Coturnix japonica: one gene and its partners. The protein of the gene in region 5 purifies or fractionates together with the protein of the main gene of each other region. This does not show direct contact. Links are inferred from orthologs where the notes say so. Each region holds a gene or a part of one and is shown on either strand. Other genes may lie near its edges. The genes, in order: KDM5A, MTA3, ZNF687, MTA1 and ZMYND8.

Region 1 (4,223 bases), on a different chromosome or scaffold from region 5:
ACCAAACATACACCTTTACTAGATCAGGTTGCCCAGGGCCCCGTCCAACCTGGTCTTGAACACCTCCAAGGACGGGGCATCCACAACCTCCCTGGGCAGCCTGTTCCAGGGCCTAACCACTCCTAGTAAAGAACTTCCCCCTAACATCCAACCGCTTGTTGGTTTGGTGGCTTTTTTTTGTTTGTTTGTAATCAAATAAGGCTCTTTTCCTAACCTGCTCATCGTATGTTTCTTTATACTTCTCCAGCCTTTTTACCAGATCCTCATGCTCCTCATCAAAGTCAGCAATCCTCTTGCGGTAATATTCCAGCAGCTCCCGGGAAGGGCGAAGGAAGGCCAGGCGTTCATTGATGGAAGGGAGAGGAGTGGAGTCCCCTTTACTCCGAGGCTGAGATCTGGATGTGCTGTGAGGGGTCGCCAGCCTAGAAATAACAGAACACAGGAGATGGGGAAAACTTACAGAAAAGGGAGGAAGTTGGCAGGGTAAGGGGGGTCCCACGGCTCATTTAGGAAAGGTGAGTTGGAAAGGAAGGTGGTAAGAAAAGGAGATGAAGGAAGACAAAGGAGTTTCGCAGTTACAAGCAGTACCACAGCACCACACGGTACCTTCTGGAGCGCGAGAAGCGCCTAGCCGAACCGCCCGCAGCGCTCATGGACAACAACGCCGGTTACCACTCAAACAGCGTACAGACCCGCCGCCCACCCAATCTACCAATCAGGAGCAGCCTTCCACGCGCCTCCGTCTGTCTCTACCAATCAGTACTCGCGACACGGACAGCACGCGTCTCTCGCTGGCGCCTGTGGGAGTTGTAGTTTTGGGAGGGGTCCTGCAGAGCTCTGATCCAAGTGTGTTATTTGACATCACTTACGTGCTTTTATCACCCATTTGATGCCCACGCCTCAGGTATCTTTATACACAGCGATCACAGTATCACAGTATCGTGTGGGTCGGAAGGGACCTTAGAGATCATCGAGTCCAACCCCCGGGATTCGAGCCTCTGTGTAGCACAGCGGCACTTCTACCTCTTGCCCCACAGGGGGATTCGAACCCAGGGCCCTGGTGTTACAACGCGGCATTCCTACCACTGCGCCACCGGGGCGCACAGCGATGTTCCCTGTATCTTCCCTATATCACCCAGCGCTACCATCCAGGTCCATACACAGGGGGTACCACGGAGACACCTGAGTTAAAACAGCTCCTCCCCTCCCCCGCCCTCGGGCCCGACAGCCCCAGTCCATGGCGGGGCCGGCCCTCCCCCCTGACGTCCTGCTCACACAATGGGCGAGCCGGCCCCTCAGCACGGGAAGTGAACGGCTCTCAATAGCGTCGCACATTCCTCCGCGCAGGAAGTGGAGGCGGCCCCTTCCCCCCCCGACCCCAATTCCCCTCCCCCCGGCCGCTCCGGCCGCCACGCCGCACGATTCAGCTCCAAGTGCCGCCCCGAGTGCTTTTCTTTTCGGTTTCACCGGAGCAACGTCTTCTCCATTGGGTGGGGGCGGCAGGCGGCCTTTCCCTGTGCCCTGGTGGAGGGACTATTTTTCGGCTCGGAAGACGACAGCTGCTCCCTCTTCCGGAGGAGGGTTGAAAGCGGCCGCGTAACTTCCGGACGAGCTGGAACGCGAGCCAGAGGGGCTCGGCGCGGGGGGAGCCGACCCCGGGGGACGGGGCGACGACGACGACACCCGGCAGGAGCCGCCCCCGCTGCCCCCGCCGCCCCGCCCCGGCTTACCCTGCCCTGCCCTGTCCGGCCCTGCCCTGCCTCTGCCTTGCTCCGGCCGCCGGAGGATGCGCCTCGGCCGCCGGCCCTGCCCCGCCGGCCGCCCCTGAGGGCCGCCCCTGTGTGGCCGTGCCTCGGTGCCGCTCCCCGCCCCCCTCCCGCAGCCGGCAGCGCCTTCCCCCCCCTCCTCAGCCATGGCGGGGGGCGGCGGGTCGCGCTACGCGGCCGAGTTCGTTCCCCCGCCCGAGTGTCCCGTCTTCGAGCCCAGCTGGGAGGAGTTCAGCGACCCGCTCGGTTTCATCGGCCGCATCCGTGGCTTGGCCGAGAAAACCGGCATCTGCAAGATCCGGCCCCCCAAGGTACCGCCCGCCTGGCGCGGGGGTAGGGCGGGATGCAGCCGGGACCGGGGGAAGCCGGCGGCTGTGGGGCGCGGCGGGCGGCTGGAGAGGGCCGGGCTCTGTCCATGGGCGGCCCCCGGGGTCGGGAGCCCCTTCCTCCGCTCCTCGAGTGTTTCCGGCCCAGTTTGCGGTACTCGCTGCGGTTGGGATCCCCCTGAGGCTGTTGAGTTCCCGTGCCCCGGTTGCGGGGTTCCGTTTGTCCCCTTCCTCAGGTTACGTCGAGGGCGCAGAGACCCTGACTTGCGGAAACAAACTCTATAATCCAGAGATGGGTTATAAAGCATATATGCGATCCTTGTACTTAGAAGTGGTTTTGAAGCGGGTGAGAAGCCCGTAGGCACGGCCAGGGCCTGGGCTTGACACTCTTCTTGCTTTAAAAACCAGCAAACAGCGTGTCGGAAAGCTGCAGTGCGTTGTAGCTGAAAGTAGGCATTTACACTGTAAGAGCTGGGGGGTGGGGAGGGAGGAGGAAGGACGGGCCTTGCAAGGGGGCCATTGTTTGTAAACAGCCTTCAGGCTGTTGGTGGAAGTGCGGCCACCCTGGTTGTGCGCAGGAGTTTAGTGTTGGTGTTAGCAGGTTAGAAAGCAGGAGCTGAATAATATCTCCAATGGCCTGGTGCAGAAAGGAGTGTTTTATGATGCCTTGTTCTGTGACCGTTCAGACAAGAACATCAAGCAACGCAGGAGCTCAGAGCCTTCTTCATAATTAAGTACAAATTAACCTATAAAATAGGAGAGTGGAAAATAACGAAGGAGAGAGAAAAAGAATGTGGAAAAAAAAGGAGCTAAGGGTAGCCTGGCTATGGAGACTGCCAATTAGATTCTATGATCCTTCCTTTCCCGATCCACAGGGTTACTGGAATCTTTTTAGGTGGTTTAATGTCATGGTTAAATCTTGACCTCCAAGGGGCTGGCTTTTCTAAAATAAGCAGAATGGCTTAAGGTTTTGGGAGAGGCCACGGGGAACTGATCCAGATCCGATTCATTGAGAGCACCTAGAACTTTCCTAGCCACTGAAGGCTGCAGTGTTTCTCTCTGAGTGTTTGACCACTGTTGTTGCAGGGCTTTGCTGGATGTGTGCATCAGGTTGGTTTGCGACATACAAGATAGAGCTAAGTCGGACACCTGGTGCTAAACTTGCTGATTTGCAATTCTTTTCCATTATTAGAATCTGTAAATATTTTGCAGTTGTGCTTGAGGCCTTTGGATGCTGCAGCCATTTTTTGTCCATCTGTAATGTTGTGTCCCTACTTTGTTGTGTTTACTGCCTGCTAAACTACCTACTGTAATTTTTAACATTTCTTAAGAGGTACTAAAAAGCTGATTTATATTTGTTTTGATGCCATAACGTGGTTTAGAGAGACGAGATGAATCTGGGTGGTGTGAGTGATTGAACCAAGTGCTGACCGTTCAAAAAGTCATTATTTAGGACTGTGCTTCCATTGAAGTGTTGGACTATTGAAATATTAATGTAGGCAAACATGGAAGAGTTACATGCATAGTATTATATGTTATTTGGTGTTTATCGCTGTTGATAGTGACAGTTTTGCAGTGTGCAGGAAATACAGAACTTTCCCTCTTTGAATAAATGCCAACAAGCAGCACAATCTCTGTCTCAATTGAGAGCCTGGTTTGAGATGGGCTATGCTGAATTTCATCAAGCCTTATTTTCTTGCTCACTTCTAACTTTGTGAAGGCTTCTTTCGTCTGACTAAAATGTTGTGAGAACTTTTTAGAAGCACGATAATAGCACAAAACTGGAAAATATTACAAATCCTGCTGAAACTCGTTTACTAGGAGGAGTCTGAATGACCAAGTTATGAAGGTTTTCTGTGCCTTTTTTTTAGTTAAGTTTCTTGAAACACTAAAACGTCTTTCTGTCTCTCCTTAGGATTGGCAGCCTCCATTTGCTTGTGAAGTGCAGAGTTTTCGTTTCACTCCACGAATTCAGCGCCTGAATGAACTGGAGGTGAGCCTTTCCACTGTTGATACAGTTCTGTGTTTACACTGCAAGCTGTAGGTCTCCCTGCTTGAGATTTACATCTTGTCAGGTTTCTGTGTGGGGAGACTTTAGAAACCTGAAGACCGCATTAGTGTTTATACTTGG
Region 2 (4,037 bases), on a different chromosome or scaffold from region 5:
ACTTCAACATTTTTTTCCAGTCATATTTTATATGACATGGTGTGTTTAAAAATTAACTTCAGCTTACAAGATAAATTAGCCATATATTTATATTTACACACATATATATATCATCCTTATTTACATCATGATAAGCATTTTGCTTGTTAACTTTTTACATAAGTTTATTATACTAATAAGTAATTAATTACACTGCTTTATTATTTTTAATAGTTATAGTAGTATCAGAACTAAGAAATATTTGTGCCTTTCCTACACACTGAAAAAGCTCCACACCCTATATAAAAATACACGCGGCATAAAGACAGAGAATACAGTCTCAATTTCAATTCACAAGCCTCCACTCACAAAAAGCAATGTAAGAAACATCCACAGGAGCCTCGTATTGTTACTGGATCACTGAAAAGTCTCACTGACACCGACAAGTCTTTACCTACATATCCAGAAGCAGACACATTACATTATTGCTATCACTCCAGATGGATTCAGCCTCAGCATCATGAAAAGAATTAAATTTAGTAACTTCCTCAATCATCCACATGATTGGTTTGGATTTTCTTTTTTTTCTTTCTTATTTTTTTTTTCCTTTTAACAACAGGGAACTCCTGTTCACTGTGAATGTTAAACTGGGCGTTTCCTTAGATAACAGGGTGGAATTGCAACTTATCACACAGCAAGGTTTTAATACCTGAAATACAAACAAATGCATAACAAATCCTAAAGAAGTAAAAAAAAAGATGCAGGAAATTCTACCAATTGAAATCTGTCGGGATGTTTAATTCACCCTCAGTTGTGGAAAAGTGCATTGAAAGCTGCAGAAAACTAAGCAGGAACTTTGGATGTTTGCATACCTTGTTAAGCTCTTCAATTCGCCTAATGAGATATGGATTGCTGGAGGAATTTTCAAAATAAACATAATCTGCAATAAAAAAAAGACATTGTATTATTTAAAAAAATAATACAGCTAAAAACACTTTTTTTGTGTGTGCAAAAGGTTTTTTTTTAAGCTAGAGTGACCTCCAGGTGACCTGCAGATGTCCTTCCCAACTTCAACCATTCTGTCTTTAAGGGAGATTTAAGAAGATAGGTCTTAGCTAGTTTCTAGATTATAGGAATAATACCTGTGTAACATATGTTACCTCACACTCATTATCACATGCTGCAACAACACAGTTGTCCGGATGAGTAATGGTGCATTTTATGATACTTGGTTTTGTTGTCATCTCTGCTCAGTAACATGTAAACTACATTCAACAGTAACAGAGCCTCAAGTCGTGATGTTCTCCTGTGCCAAAACCTCTACTAGGATCATTAAAATAAGAGTATTCTCATGGAGTATATGGAAATCTGCTCATATCCTTAAAGCTACTCCCAAGACGCAAACAAAAAAACCAACACAAAAAACATTTTCTTCTGTAGGTTTCCCAAAACCTGCATCAAACAAAAAAGTAGCCACTGAATGACAATCACATTCTGCACTCAGTATCTGACTTATTGCATGGTGTATCTCACAAGTTTTATTTAAAAAGAATAGGGAGTTAGAGGAACCATATGGATGTATAAAACCTTTTGCTATGCTTTGACATGAGGTTAAAGCCAAGCAGAGCCTCAGGAAGCTCAAATATCACTGAAGGAAGAGTAAGGTCTCTGTTGCTCACCCTTAAGGTCACAGCAGAAAAAAAACGGGGACTCAATGATGACCTAAGAAACAAACCCAACCAAGATGTCAACAGCATTGCTTGGGAGGGGATTACTGCGATGAGTAAAGGCTGATGGGATTACAGCCTCTACGCCTGGATGAAGGAGTGTGCAGAAGGGCGAGTGGTAGGTATGTCAGCACACCTTGAAACTGACACAGAAAGAGCCTGAAGAGATGGGTGGGAGAGCACGGCTCCCTGTTAGCATCGTGCTTAGCAAGGAACAGGAGCCAGGAGTGAAAAGCGAACTTTCTGCGCTGCACCTGAGCGGCAGCACCGGAACAGTGCCACGTTCATTCCACGGCGGGGGAGAAGGAGGGGGGGATGGAAAGTTATCAGAGTCAGTTTCGACGGGTTGGGGGTGGGAAACCCAATGCTTGTTTTGCTCCCAAGCGACTCCTCGCTCCCGCCGTACGCCAAGCGGCCATCTACCAGCGACCTAACCCGGCCGGCAGATCCCCTCCATCTACCCGTGCGGATGCGTAATTCATCTCCAAGAGATGCAGGGAGGCGCGCAGGAACTCGGAGGGCTCATCCCACGCCTCCTGCCCGCACCACGCCGCCCGGGCCCGCCAGGCCGCAGCAGGGCCGGGCCCGGCCGTGCCAGAGAGCCGGGGGCGCAGCGCCCGCCAGGCCGCCCAAGCCCGCACGGCCACGGCGAGAGGCGCAAAGGGCGGCCATGCCCGGCCCGGGAAGAAGCCGGCGCCGCCGCTCCCTCTTTCCTTCCTTCCCTGCGGAGGGCGGCGCTGCCCTTGTGCCGCTCGGCGCGGGGCGGCCTCCCACCCTGCGCGCGGGGCTGCGGGGAGGAACCTGCGTCCTCCGCTTCCCCCCCGGGCACGGCTCGGGTGCCCCGCTCGGGGTCGCGGCGCCGCAGAAGGAAGGCGAGGGGACCGGGGAGCCCCTTCGCAGCCCGGCGGGTGGGGAGCGCTGCGGGGCGCGGAGCCGCGGTCGCTGCCCCGCCGCTACCTACCTCCCACTCGGTACATGTTGGCCGCCATGTCTGCGCTCTGCGCCCTCCTCCCGCTGCCGGGCCGGGCTGGGCGAGGAGGGAGCGGCTCCCGCGGCCCCCCCGCCCCGCTCTCGCCCCCACCCTGAGCCAGCCCTCCCCGCCCGGGCACAGGACACAGCGCCGCGCCTCGAGGGGCCGCCGCTTCCGGAGCCGCCCGGCGGGGAAGGGGTTAAAAACCGCCCATGCCGCCTCCCCTTCGGCGCACACACCGACCCTGGGTCGGGTGTTGGGGCTCAGCCGCAGCCTGCCGGCTCCTCGGGGGTGCGGCCGCAGATGGGGCTTCCCTCTGGGGGTCGGTGTGCTGCGGCTGAACCCCTTTGCCGCATTGTGACTGTGCCCCACTCGGGTCTTTGTTCCCTGCAACCAAGTGGCTTCACTCTCCCCGTGGGCGGCTACTTGCGGCAGCTGGGGGAAAGTTTGGCACGCGTGTGCGCGCAGCACCTGTTGATGATCGATTGGGAGAGGGTTTGTCTCCATACAAAGAGCGGGATGTGACCCGGGAGCTCGCTTTGGGGCTTCTTAAGCTGCCTGCTGTGCTCGGCGAGGGGCGGCAGAAAGCATCCCCGACAAGACAAAGGTAGATCCCGCAGCTTAACTAAGAGCTGAAGGAGCTGCTCTCAGATCACCTGATGAGGGGGGTGCCTGAAAAACATCGGTGTTGATATTACAGGAAGGCACCTCCCTGTGTTTGTATAGGATCTACACCACCACAAACTATATACTTTATGGCCAATTTTGTGCTGCTCCCTTCGAGGAGAAGGGCTTTTTATCATTTCTCTTGCCAGGATGGTGATGATTTGTTACACGTTTCACACCCCAGATTTTTCTGAATGCAACTCAACAGTACCAAGCAAGATTTTCAGTTCATCCTGAGAGGAAAAAAATGAATTCCCCAGTGTTTCAAGTGGTCTCTCCTCACTTTATCCCTTTCCGTGAATCAGGGCCGATTAGATGAAGGCTTCTTTTACTGCATATTTAACTTTCTGAAACGCTGCTTTGAGTGAAACAAACTACAGAGCTGCTGAATGATGTGCACCTGGTAAGCAAAACACACAGTCAGGTGGTCCTCTTTATTAAACAGCAACGAACTCAGGCATTGAAATGAAAGATCTGGTATCATCCTCTATTTTGCCTCCTGACAGGAACATCAGTGAGAGCTGACAGAAAGCCCATGGGAGGTTGCAGCTCTATCCAGCTGGTTCTCCCCAGACACAACAGCACTACCATGCCATGGACCCAAATAGAAGTGGTTAGAAGTTAGGTGGGGGTTATTTTCATTCCTGCGGTTTACTGCCTGGTTAGTGAAACTGAGGTTAGATGTTGAAGGCAGG
Region 3 (3,984 bases), on a different chromosome or scaffold from region 5:
TTGGTAAATATGGTATATGGGGGGGTGGTATATGGTATATGGGGGGGGTGGTATATGGTGTATGGGGGGTGTTATATGGTATATGGGGGGATGGTATATGGTATATGGGGGGTGGTATATGGGGTACACAGACACAGCCCCCCCTTTGTCCCACAGGAGGAGGATGACTACGACGTGATGCAGGACCCCGAGTTCCTGCAGAGCGTGTTGGAGAACCTGCCCGGGGTGGACCCCAACAACGAGGCCATCCGGAACGCCATGGGGTCGTTGGCCTCACAGGCCTCCAAGGAGGGCAAGGACAAGAAGGAGGAGGACAAGAAGTGACGGGGTCGGGTCGGGGCTGCGCAATAAAGGAAATAAAGTCTGAAGCTCCGCCCGGTTCCGGACCCGGTCCATGTTCCTGCCCCTATTCCCACCCTGGGGGCGGGGGCAGCGCGGAGGCCACGCCCCCTCCCCCCTTCGCGTCCCCTCCCGGCGTGCACCGCGCCGCCGCAGGATGTTTACGGCGCGGCCCGTGGGCGGGGCTGGGATGATGAGCGGCGAAGGGAACCAATGGGGGAGCGGGCTGGGGGATGTTGTAATCGATTCTGGCCAATGGGAAGAGAGAGCGGGTCGGGGCGACTCATTGGTTCTTTCAGGACGGAAGTGAGGTCGCGTTGACCAACAGGAGAGCGAGGGGGCGGGGCGAGGGCCCAGCTTCCATGAGTGACAGCGCCGCCAACAAATGGGAGAAGACGTGGTGGACCGCTTGGGGCTCCCAGCGGATGGGGTGATGGGGGGGCGGGCCTTCGCCTTGACAGACAAGCGTCTCTTCCAATGGGAAAGCAACAGCTGGGCGGTGCCCTGAGCGACGCTGCGTGTGGCCAATAGCCGTGCGCCTCCTTGATGGATGGGCACCCAACTTTGGCCAATGGCAGGAGGGAGGGGGCGGGCTTGTTTGACGAGCGCAGGTTTCAGCCAATCAGCGGGCGGGCTGCTCGCAGAGCCGCCAATAGGTCGCCGGGAGGGCGGGACCACACTTTCAATGGCTGCCCCGTCCCCCAATAGATGCCCCCTCCGGGGGCGGATCCAGCTCCGACTCCACCAATAGCGAGTGCAAGCGGCCGCGACCACCCGCGAGCGACAGCTCCGCCGACCAATGAGCGCGCCCGCAGCTACGAGTGACATCCGGAAGGTCCAATAGCCCGGCGGCGGGGGGCGGGCGTCAGGGTCCGGCGGCGCAGGGCGGGGGGCGCGGGCCAAGCAGGAAGTGCAGCGAGAAGCGGCCGCCGCAGGTTGGGCCGCAGTTGGGCCCCGCGGCCGCACAGCGCCCGGTGAGGACAACGGGGAGAGCGGGGGGGGAGCGGGAGCGGAGCCGGGGCCGGGGGCGGAGCTCAGGGCCGGGGGGAGGAGCTCAGGGCCCCGACGGGGAACCGGGGCCGCGCTGGGCGCACGGCGCTGGGCCGGGGGTGAAGGGGCTGCAGCTGGAGGGGGGGGGGCTGCGCTTCGGGCCCCGGCAGCGCCCGGTGCGACCGCGGGGCGTCACGGCGGGAGTTGGGCTGTTCGTCCCCTTTATCCCCAGGGGAATCGCGGCCCCAGCGGCCGGTAATGGCCGCGGTTGGGTGCGGGCACCGCTCGAATCGCCGCCCTTCCCCCCCCCAACAACCACCATCACCCGGCCCCTCCCCGCCCCCCCGTGTTCCCTCAGCCCCGTGGAGATGACTCTGCTCCCGCCGTTCCCCATTCCAAACCCGGGGCTCTTTGTGGTTCTCCCCCCTCAGAACGATCCGGCGTTGCGGCTCCGGGGGGTGGGGGGGGGCTCCGTTGTGCGGCCCCGCTCCGTGCTGGGCTCCGTGTTGGGCTCCGTGTTTCCATCCCCGTTTCCAGCAACGGCCTCAAAAACCCCAAAGCTGATCCCGGGTTGGGAGGGAAGCACCAACCAGGAGTAACGGGGGGGGGGGAGCCTTGACCTCAGTGGGTCAACTGGGAGCTACTGGGAGGCTCTGAGCCCACTGGGGCTGATGGGCGGCTCTGCCCATCACTTTAGGCTCGGGTGATGCCCTCTGTGTCCATGGGGGGATGTGGGGCCGCTCTGTGTCTCATTGAATCCTTCTGGAGCCCCACGGCGCTTCCCTCCGGCCTCCCTGACTTTCTTGGCAGGGTTTGAGCCGGAGGGAATGGGCTGTTTTTGTTTTGAGCTCTTGTTTTCTCCCTCTTCTCTCAGTCCCCGGGTCCCTCCCGCCCTCATTTCCCAGCAGCTCCACGCACCATCAGGGAGCAGGCGGCCTTTGGGGGGGCTGCAGTTCCTTCCCCATAACAAACTGCATTCACCAGAGGGTCTGGTGTGGTGGTGGTGGTGGGGGGGCTCATTTATGGCAGCAGCTGCCTTATCTATGGGGCAGACCACCAGGTGTGGGCACAGCTGTGGTGCTGCTGAGCCCTTTGGGGGGAGGATTGGATGCCTGCAGAGCACCTGCTGGCATTCAGAAGCTCCAGCTCAGCCCAGCCAAGTCGTCGGAGGGTTCTGGATCTGCGCCGCCGCTGCTTTGTTTGGTTCCTTCCTGCAGTCAGCAGATGGTGTGGGCTTAATTCTGGTCAACGGGCAGCACTGTAATCCCTGCGGCCGGGCTGCGGGGCCGTCTGCTCAACATGGTCAGGGGGGACCTGTGCTGTGCTGGGGGGGGAAGGACACTGAGATCACAGTGGGGTTGGGGCTGGGGGCTGCACGGCCCCTTCCGACATAGCTGTGCTGTGATCCCATGGTTCTGTGACCCATAGGGTCCCTTCAGACTCCACCTCACTGTCATCCCATGGTTCTGTGACCCATAGGATCCCTTCAGACCCAACCACACTGTGATCCTGCGGCCTTTGAGGTCTCGTCTGACCCAACCATCCCACAACTCCCTGCTGTATAACACACAGGATCAAAGCACCATGTGAGAGGTGTGGGGAGATGTGACCCCACATCCCTGTGCCCACAGATTGCAGACATCCAACGTGTCTCAGCATTGACCTCTGCTTCTCTTCCGAGCTGTTCTCTCCTCTGAAGCTCGGCTGAATCCCTTCTGGTTTTAGATGACAAAACACATGATAGGCCTGGAAATTAGCGAGGTTGGCTAACGAAGGTGGGCACTGCAGAACCAGGAGAGCCTCATTAAGTGCCGTCTCGTTAGGATGGCACCACAATCATTAGGATGGTACATTGATCATTAGGATGTGATGCTGGGGGGGGTCGGTGGTGATGTCAGCTCACTGTTAGAGATGCACTGGGGAGGGAAACAGGAAAAGCAGCTTTAAAAACAGCCCTGGAAACAGCTGCTATATGGGGCTGTGCTGGTGCTGGAGCACAGCTGTCCCCCTTCCCTTCCCCCCCACAAATGCTCTGCCCCATAGCTGAGCTGCTGGGAATGCTCCCCCTGGCAGACGGCGGCTGATGAGGATAAAAATACCCCCCCATCCCCACCCCCCCTTGGAGCTGCCTTTGTTTTGCCAAAGAAAAGTAGTTATTTTGTGCTGAAAAAAAGCCCGGCGGTCTTGTGGTTTGAGCTCCCAAAATAAGCACAAGACAGCCAGGCAGGTCGCAGTGCAGCCACGCTCTGCTGTCTGTGTGGGGGCTCCAGATGCTCCACCTGATAAAGGGGGGGGTTTGGGGTCCGGGTTTCCCCAGGGCAATCGCTGCCCTAATGAGTTGGGGGCCTTCCTGGTGCTGCTTCCTCTGCCCCATGCTGAGCAACCCCCTCCAGACGGGGCTCCCCCTGGGGGTCCTGGAAGGGACTCTGCAAGGAACAGAAACCAACAGCAGCTTCTTGCCATGGGGCTGGGAAAAAGGATATCCAAGGGAACCCCATACAAATGGGGCCAGCGGGGTACTCCCAGCAGTGCTCTGTGGGCCCCGAGGAATGGAGCACTGTGGGCTCCCACAGGGAAGGGGAGGTTTTACCCCATTGCTTTTGGGGACATGTCCAGTGTGGCAGCTTCCCTCAGCATCATGGTCAGTGTTTGTGT
Region 4 (4,112 bases), on a different chromosome or scaffold from region 5:
TTGGTGCGAGATGGAAACGCACACAAAAAAAACCACCTGTCATTGTGCTGCATCAAGGGGATAACACAGCAGATCAACCTGCAGCGGGGCTCTGTCAGTTACAGCACTGCTGGGACACTGGGGCTGCAGCTGAACTCCTGGGGAAGGCACAGAGCAGAAGTGGAGCTTGCAGCACCTCCTGCACGGGGAGCCCGTGCAAACAGCTGTCAACGTGCTTAACTTAACACTGGCATCTGTCAGAGAAGCGCAGTCCACACATTGGATCACAAAAGCAAAACCCACAGCGTTTCACAAGCCGGCCAAAAGCGATCAACGTGCGCTTCCAGGAGTGTTATTGATCTCCATCACACAGGCTGCTGTTGGCAGCTGTCAGGTCTGCAGTTCACGCACGCGACTGGTAACCACAAGGCCAGCGGTGGATTATCTCTTGGATGCTCTTCCTGCAATGGGAAGTACACGAAGTGACCGTGTACAAATCAGCTGGGGATTTAATCCCGCCCTGGAACGCACACACAACTTCAGCACACAGCCACCAGCACCAGAGGTCAGCAGCAACCCAGCAACGCAACCTCTTGGCTCAGGACGGGGCCGCAGCACAGAAATGGCCACATCCATCCACACGTGGGGCTCGGCAGCACACCCAGCAAGGCTTCATCCACAAGAGCAACACCCGAGCACAGGAACTGGCCACCAGCCAGCGCCTCACCCTCTGCCTGCGGAGGTTGTGGAGCAAAGCCCGGACACCATTCCCAAGCACACAGGGGTGACCGACATCAGCCAAATGGCTACAGCAGGGGCTCAGCATGCCCTAGCAATGGGGCTCCCTGCAGAGATGAAGGCTGGCTGCACAGGGACGACCCTCAGCTGGCTGCCACTAAGAGAAGCCATGTGATCAACACGGGGCCACAGCCTTTCCCATCACCTTTCTAGTGATGGGAATGCACTCTGTGGACATGTGGGGAACTGTGAGAGACGTGGCACACACTGGAGGACAGGGCTGCTGTTTGAAGGAACTTCAACAGGCCGGGAAAAGGGATGCCAAGAGCCTCACTAAGTTCACCTAAGGCCAAGGGAACCCTGCACCTGGGGTGGGCAGCTGCAGGAGCACAGCAGGACTACGGAGCGGCTCTACAAAGACACCTGGAAAAACAACTGCCCAAGTGGCAGCATGCAGCCTCACAGCACAGCTGCCCAGCACCGCTCACCATGGCCTCAGCAGTGCAGCCAGAGAGAGGCCGGGTTCCGCCTGCTGCTGGGTACTGGCAACACACCAACACCACCCCAGCACAAGGATGGGTTCATTTGCTGTAAGTATGATCCAGCACCGGGATGGGCCCAGACCAAGGACACCATCCCAGCATCATCATCCGTAGCAATACCCCGGCTGGGCTGCACTTACCCATTGCTGTGCAATGAGCTGACTTGCAACAGCAAGCAGCCTATACATCTCCAGCACGGGCCCCTTCCCACTGCCTGTACAAGCCTACGGGGCACACAGTACAGGTACCATGCAAGATACACACCAGTACAGCACTCAGGACTCACATACACGATATTAAACACCAAACAGCGATTCCCTTTGCCATTCACACCAGCATCCCAGCCGTAAGTTCACAAGGCTCAACTCCATCCCTGTCCTCTGAGCACCACAACCCAACACACGGCTCCACACGCGCATCCATTGCCGGGGCAGCACAGGAAGCAGCGGCAGGCCGGCCCAGAGGCACAGCTCATCATCCATCTGTAAACCAACACCGCACCACACTGCCACAAAGGAGGCACGGAGTGAGGCCGGCCCAGAAAGGCAGACAGAACAGAAAGTAGCGAAGGATGGCGAGCAGCCGGGCAGGGCGGCTCGGACACCTCCGCTGTATTTTTTTCCCCTCCGTTTACTTTACTGCGTGTTTACTGCAGCCCATCACAAAGGGCTGCCCCGGAGCCCCACGGACGCGGGGAGAAGGAAGTTCCGCACAACATTTCTCGCAAAGGAAAATGGCTGAGCGCAAAGCCACGCCGGCCCACCCGGCTGTTGATACTCCATCACATCGCACGCCGGACCCCGCCGCCTCTCTCCTCTCCTCTCCTCTCCTCTCCTCTCCTCTCCTCGAGAGTTAAAACAAAGGACGAGCGGCCCATGGGCGCCGGGCCGGGATGGCACACGGGGAGAGGCCCGACCCACGGCCCGGCGGCCCCTGGCGGCCCCATCCCCGCGCAGCCGTTCCCGGGTGGGCCCCAACCTCCGCCCGCTCCACCCAGGGCCGCCCCCCGCGGCCCCTCGGTCTCCCCGCGCCGCCCCTTCACCCCGCTTCACCCCGCCGCCATCCTCACTCCCGACTTCCCCCCCGTCCTCCCCGCTCGGGCCCGGCCTCCCGCGCGGCCTCCATCCCCCCCCCAGGCCGCCCCCGCTCGCGGCCTACCCCCGCCGCCCCGCCCCGGGCCGGGCCTCGCCCCAACGCCGGATCCTCGGCCCGCCGGGCCCGCAGCGCCGCCCGCACGCGGCCGGGCCGGTCCTCGGTCCGGGGGCAGCGCCTACCTCCCACCCGGTACATGTTGGCGGCCATGCCCGGGACGGGTGCGGGGCGCGGGCCGCTCCCGCCGCCTCCTCCTCCTTCTCCTTCTCCTCCTCCAGGTGCCGGATCCGCTGGAAAATGGAGGCTGAAACGGCCGGGCGGGGGAGGGGAGCGGGGGGAATTAAAGGGGCCGCGCCGGCTGCCGCCCGGCCGCTCCAGGAAGGCGGGAGGGCGGCGGGAGGAAGGCGGGGCGGCGGCGGGACGGGAGCGAAGGGAGGGAGGGAGGGAAGGAGAGAGGGAGGGAAGGAGAGAGGGAGGGAAGGAAGGAGGGAGGGAGGGAAGGAGAGAGGGAGGGAAGGAAGGAAGGAAGGAGGCGGCCGGCACGGAGCGCAGCGTGGGGCGGAGAGCGCCGCGCCCGGCCTGGGGGAGCCCAGCGGCGACGGGCGGAGCGACGGGCTTCACGCTCAGCACCGCGTGTCCTCGCGTGCTGCCAGCCACAAGGGAGGACAACGAGCCGCAATACGCACCTACAGCCCGCACCGCCCAGCCCTTAGCAGCTCACCCCTGCCCTCTCGCCAGGCTCGGTTCCCCCCGCTCCCACCCCTGTATCCATCCCCCTGTGCCGGCTGTGACACCCAGCGGCTCCTCCTGCCAAACAGCCCCTGCTGACAGATGACTCCAGGGACGGGGATGTGCTTTCATGTCCAGTTTTATTAGTGTTGCATTAGTACCATAAAATAGTTGACGAGGTCGAGCACGTTGCAGTTTGTTCAAAAAAAAAAAAAAAACCAAAAAAATAAACCAACAAAAAAAACCCAAAACAAAACAAAAAACAACCAAGAAAGGCTATTTACATTTGAACTTTCGTCATAAAAATAAAAAGAAACAACCGAGAACCCAAACAAGACGACAATGAAACAGATGGACAACTCGGGAGTCTACAAAGTGGTAACGCGCCCTCGAGTGCTGCGGGCCGGGCAGGGCTGTTAGCACAGCACACAGCATCCATGGCAGCACAGCGCTTCCCCATTGCCCCGCAGTGCTGCAGAGCAGTGCTATTCCCTATGGAAACCAAGGACCCGCTGGTTGGGGACAGAAGCATCGCACCCACTGTTGCTCCAGGACCCCCCACCTCTGCACACCCAGCAGCAGCCATCAGCTCAGCCCCTCTCTACAGGGTCTTCCCTTCGAGCTTTGAGCCACAACGTGCAATGCCCCAATCCTGGCTCTGTGCTGCTCCCTCCGTGCCTGTTGCTGGTGGGAAAGGACCAGGTGGGGCCTTCCTGTGTGAGCTGCTTCCCGCTGGCACGGGCAGCAGGTGACCAATCCACAGAGCTGGGGACGAGCCTTTATCTCCAGAAACCCAAAGGACCAACAAGCACAAGGTGCAGCACGACACCACAAAACCCATCTCATCTGCTCACCAGCACAGTCAAACCAGGTCAGTGCCACAAGGAGCCCTCATCTCCAAGCAAGGTGGGAGCCCTTCTCCCAGCAGCGTTACTGTCTCCCTCCGGTGTAACCCGGTGAATTGGGGTGTACAAAGTTACACCAAGACACAAACCAACACGAAACACACCCAGCGCTCCTTTCACACGTACA
Region 5 (3,510 bases):
TTATTGCATTTAATCACAGGGCTTTTGTACTGGGACATCAAATGAACCACCTCAAACACGCCTACAAATCAGAACATCTGTTTCTTCTTCCACCTCCAAGCATCCATTTAGAAGACAGGTGTCCTTGTGCAGATCCCACACATCTTCTCTCCCATCGCTGTGACCTTTATCACATACGGTGAGTACCTTAATGGAAGTATTATTAGCAATGCCCTTGTCAAAAGCCTTCTATAAGGCATGGATATGCATCCCCTACACAAAGTATAGTTTGTAACACACACATTAGGAAACATTTCAATCACAAATACAAGCAATGGAATACTTCAAAAATACAGATAGAACAACCAGATTCCCTGCGGTCCACATACCTCATGCTCACAGATTTTGATGATGACTTTTGCTGTTTGTGTCAATTTGTGATTTCCTGAGGAGACAATAAGAAAAATGCTCTAAGCAAGCAAACCATTAGTATAAAATGATGATAAAAATCAACAGGTTTTAGTTATAAAAAGTTTATGTTGAAGACAACATAGAACATCAGAAAAGACAATGCAAAACAGGTAGATATCAAACACATGCTTGTAGAAGCAGTGACAGGCTCTTCCCAGCAAACACAGCACAGAAAAATCTTTGTGCATTCCCTTTTTATGCCTGTTGCAGCCTGCCCAGCTGTGACACACTACTCAGTAATGGACATGTCCTCAGTTAGCTCTCCTACTGAGAAAGGGACAGCATAGGCAGTATTTGCTATTAAGTGTAAATGTAGGTTTTTTTGTTTTTTGTTTTTTTTTAAAATAGTCATGTTTAAAACTACAGCATTTAGCAGGAAGATACTTTCACCATATCTGTGCTTACCCCCATTGTAAATAATGCAGTTGTGCAAAATCCATTTGGCATCAGCCAAAAATGCTTCAGTGCAACCGTACATTTTCTTTTTAACATTCTGGAAAGAAACATTTAAAAACGTATCAGGAAACAGATATGAGTAAAACTCGCATCTTCCTGAACCCAGAAAAAAAAATATTTTCTGTACTCCATAAGCCAGTTTTTGGTATTTCAGCCCAACAGCTGGGTGAAGTAATTCAGTTAGATCAAATCAGTGACATGGATTTGTTACACCTTTATGCCACAAAGACACTGATCTCTGCTCCCAGGGCGTAGAGAATAAGGACTCATCACCAGGCACTACCACAACAAAGCTCTGCATTGCTATACTATTATTAAAGCAACAGGGAATGAAGAACTTTGTAACTTGAAACATTTAACTTATTACTAAACCGACAAACTCCTGTAATCCACTTCTTTACTGTTTTCTTCTCCCACATCTCAGCAGCAGATATTCTAGTATTTATTACATCTGTAAGTTCTAATGTTTGATCAGCAAATGAGCCTGGAATGACCTCTGGTCATACATTCAGCTGGTCCCAAGGCAAATCATATACTGCTTTTCCTGAGCATTTACTATTAGCTCAGACTGTAACAGACACATTCAATTGGCACATTGTTGTTTTACAATAACAAAACTGTAATCAAAACACTTAAATAATTTCAAGCAATCTCTCTTCCTCTCATCAAAGAACCCAGAAAGCTTAACCATAGCATCAAACTCAAAAGGTCTTTGCCTTATACAAACCTTCTCTAATGTACAAAGGTCCATTGGATGAAAGATATATTCTGCATAATCTGGGTGTTGATCCAGTGAAACTGGCTTTTGAAATGGCTCTGTCTGTGAGGAGAAAACAAATCACACTGCTTCTTCATACTGAACAATTTCATCAACAACTCAATAGTCACTCTTTTTCTAATACTACTTTCAACTGTGGTATCAGAGAAAATTCTTTAAAAGTAATAGTAAAAATTTGTGAACTAACACAGTACTGGCAAAATGAGGAAATCAATGCCCTCACATTGCTGATTCTCCATGTGCTGGAAGTAATGAATTACAAGCCTTGGGGGTTTTGTAAAACGGACTGTTCTTATTTACAGTAGTTCTTTCTTGAGCAGAGCATTAGCTGAGGCTCAGCAGATAGTTTTTAGTAGAGTAAATACTCCCCTTATCTAGAGTTTGACAAAGTTATTTCTAACTCTAGATAACTCTGAAAGTTCCGAGACTGATAAAATTATTTCTGAGTCTCAGAACTGTCAGAGCAATGGTGTCTTGCAGATAAGGTCAAACTTCCATCAGTGGGACTCCACACTTTATCTGCTGTTGTGGAAGGGCTGCAGTTCTCTGAACACAGCCAAATAAAGCTATCAGACACCACAACAGCAGGTAAGTATCTAAAGGGCAAAATATCCCCATAGCATTCATTAAACATTGCCTTTCTAGCTGCACATTCAAAATATTTTGTCAACTCAAAATAAACAAACACTGATACTTTGCTTCTGAAAAGCAGCATTTAAAGCTTCTATTGACTCCTAAGAGGAGGCTACTTACCACTCCAGAGTTAAACTACTCCAAGAGTTGAAGTTTATCGACATTAGAGAGTAACCTTCCCAGAAACTGTCACTATTTTTCTGATAAAATATTTATCATGCAGACACCAGAGCTGTAAAGCAGCCATGATTCCTTCCACACATCTGGTTTTTCCAATATATTTTACTGTATGTAAAGCACAGAGACTCCTCTAATTTATTTACAGGGACAGGATAGCAATAGGAGCTCAAATAAGCCATGACAATCCATTAAAACATCTTACTACACTTTTTTTCTTCCCACATGTGAAAACTAGTCAAAGCTTGTATAGTGAAAAATGAGCAATCAGAAATTTGAAGAAAGAATGAGGGACTGGAATATGTGAAACACTCAGGAGGCACTGATGATTTTGAGGGTTAAGTCTGAGACAGACACTGAGACAGACTAGTAAAAGTTAGAGGAAACAACATTTTCCCTCTGTGATAGAAGTTCATGCAGATTCCTACAGTACGCAAGTTGGTGGCACAGGATGTCACTGAGAAAAAATTCTTCAGTGTTTCCCAAGTATACGATAGAACTAATTTTTGTGGTGAGAACAATTCCTACTAACCAGAGGAAAGCCAGGTTTTTAAAGGTTATAATTAATTACTTGACACAGCATTGCTCAGTTTCAGTGAGTGAGAAAGCACAAATTCCCATTGGGAAGCTATGCTGTATCTTCACTGCATCCACTGAAACTATCACTAGAAGCTGCATCAAGGAACTGTGTTTTGCATGCATTCCAAAACAGCATACACAGTCTGAACTAGGCTGTTTGTAATATGCGGGTGGTACATGGCAGAGAACCTGATAAAATAAGCTAGATTCAGATCAACAAAAAGAAGCAAAACCCAATATTATGACAAACATACAAAACAAGCATTAAAAAAGAAATCTTCCTTACCCCTGGCTGTTTCATTTTCTGTAGTGCAAACTTCAGCAAATACGATAGCTGTTCAGTGGTGAGCATTGTCATAGCTTTACTCTGTGTTTCTATGCATTCTGCAACTGTGATTTTCTAAAAATTAGCATGAAAAGATATTGTGTCAGTAACA

What was found.
Region 1: the proteins of ZMYND8 (region 5) and KDM5A purify together in Homo sapiens (affinity purification with mass spectrometry; 3 studies listed by BioGRID and IntAct, with this or other methods). This does not show direct contact. The link is inferred for Coturnix japonica from reciprocal best matches to the Homo sapiens genes ZMYND8 and KDM5A.
Region 2: the proteins of ZMYND8 (region 5) and MTA3 purify together in Homo sapiens (affinity purification with mass spectrometry, with the first as the bait; 3 studies listed by BioGRID). This does not show direct contact. The link is inferred for Coturnix japonica from reciprocal best matches to the Homo sapiens genes ZMYND8 and MTA3.
Region 3: the proteins of ZMYND8 (region 5) and ZNF687 purify together in Homo sapiens (affinity purification with mass spectrometry; 4 studies listed by BioGRID and IntAct, with this or other methods). This does not show direct contact. The link is inferred for Coturnix japonica from reciprocal best matches to the Homo sapiens genes ZMYND8 and ZNF687.
Region 4: the proteins of ZMYND8 (region 5) and MTA1 purify together in Homo sapiens (affinity purification with mass spectrometry; 3 studies listed by BioGRID and IntAct, with this or other methods). This does not show direct contact. The link is inferred for Coturnix japonica from reciprocal best matches to the Homo sapiens genes ZMYND8 and MTA1.

What each region holds. Positions count from the first base shown.
Region 1 is NC_029516.1:52,328,287-52,332,509, forward strand, and holds the start of KDM5A (lysine-specific demethylase 5A), read left to right. Parts: upstream 1-1,423; 5' UTR 1,424-1,912; coding exon 1,913-2,077; intron 2,078-4,007; coding exon 4,008-4,085; intron 4,086-4,223. Other genes in the region: CCDC77 (coiled-coil domain-containing protein 77), read right to left, coding at 215-422, 607-653. UniProt on the Homo sapiens protein: Histone demethylase that specifically demethylates 'Lys-4' of histone H3, thereby playing a central role in histone code. Does not demethylate histone H3 'Lys-9', H3 'Lys-27', H3 'Lys-36', H3 'Lys-79' or H4 'Lys-20'.
Region 2 is NC_029518.1:21,251,518-21,255,554, reverse strand, and holds the start of MTA3 (metastasis-associated protein MTA3), read right to left. Parts: upstream 2,806-4,037; 5' UTR 2,696-2,805; coding exon 2,668-2,695; intron 920-2,667; coding exon 852-919; intron 1-851. UniProt on the Homo sapiens protein: Acts as a component of the histone deacetylase NuRD complex which participates in the remodeling of chromatin.
Region 3 is NC_029540.1:2,270,658-2,274,641, forward strand, and holds the start of ZNF687 (zinc finger protein 687), read left to right. Parts: upstream 1-1,184; 5' UTR 1,185-1,313; intron 1,314-3,984. Other genes in the region: PSMD4 (26S proteasome non-ATPase regulatory subunit 4), read left to right, coding at 157-324. UniProt on the Homo sapiens protein: May be involved in transcriptional regulation.
Region 4 is NC_029523.1:3,968,270-3,972,381, forward strand, and holds the start of MTA1 (metastasis-associated protein MTA1), read right to left. Parts: upstream 2,809-4,112; 5' UTR 2,562-2,808; coding exon 2,534-2,561; intron 2,057-2,533; exon of another isoform or gene 2,042-2,056; coding exon of another isoform or gene 2,023-2,041; intron 1-2,022. UniProt on the Homo sapiens protein: Transcriptional coregulator which can act as both a transcriptional corepressor and coactivator. Acts as a component of the histone deacetylase NuRD complex which participates in the remodeling of chromatin.
Region 5 is NC_029535.1:5,095,494-5,099,003, forward strand, and holds part of ZMYND8 (protein kinase C-binding protein 1), read right to left. Parts: intron 3,474-3,510; coding exon 3,360-3,473; intron 1,727-3,359; coding exon 1,634-1,726; intron 944-1,633; coding exon 856-943; intron 425-855; coding exon 369-424; intron 1-368. UniProt on the Homo sapiens protein: Chromatin reader that recognizes dual histone modifications such as histone H3.1 dimethylated at 'Lys-36' and histone H4 acetylated at 'Lys-16' (H3.1K36me2-H4K16ac) and histone H3 methylated at 'Lys-4' and histone H4 acetylated at 'Lys-14' (H3K4me1-H3K14ac).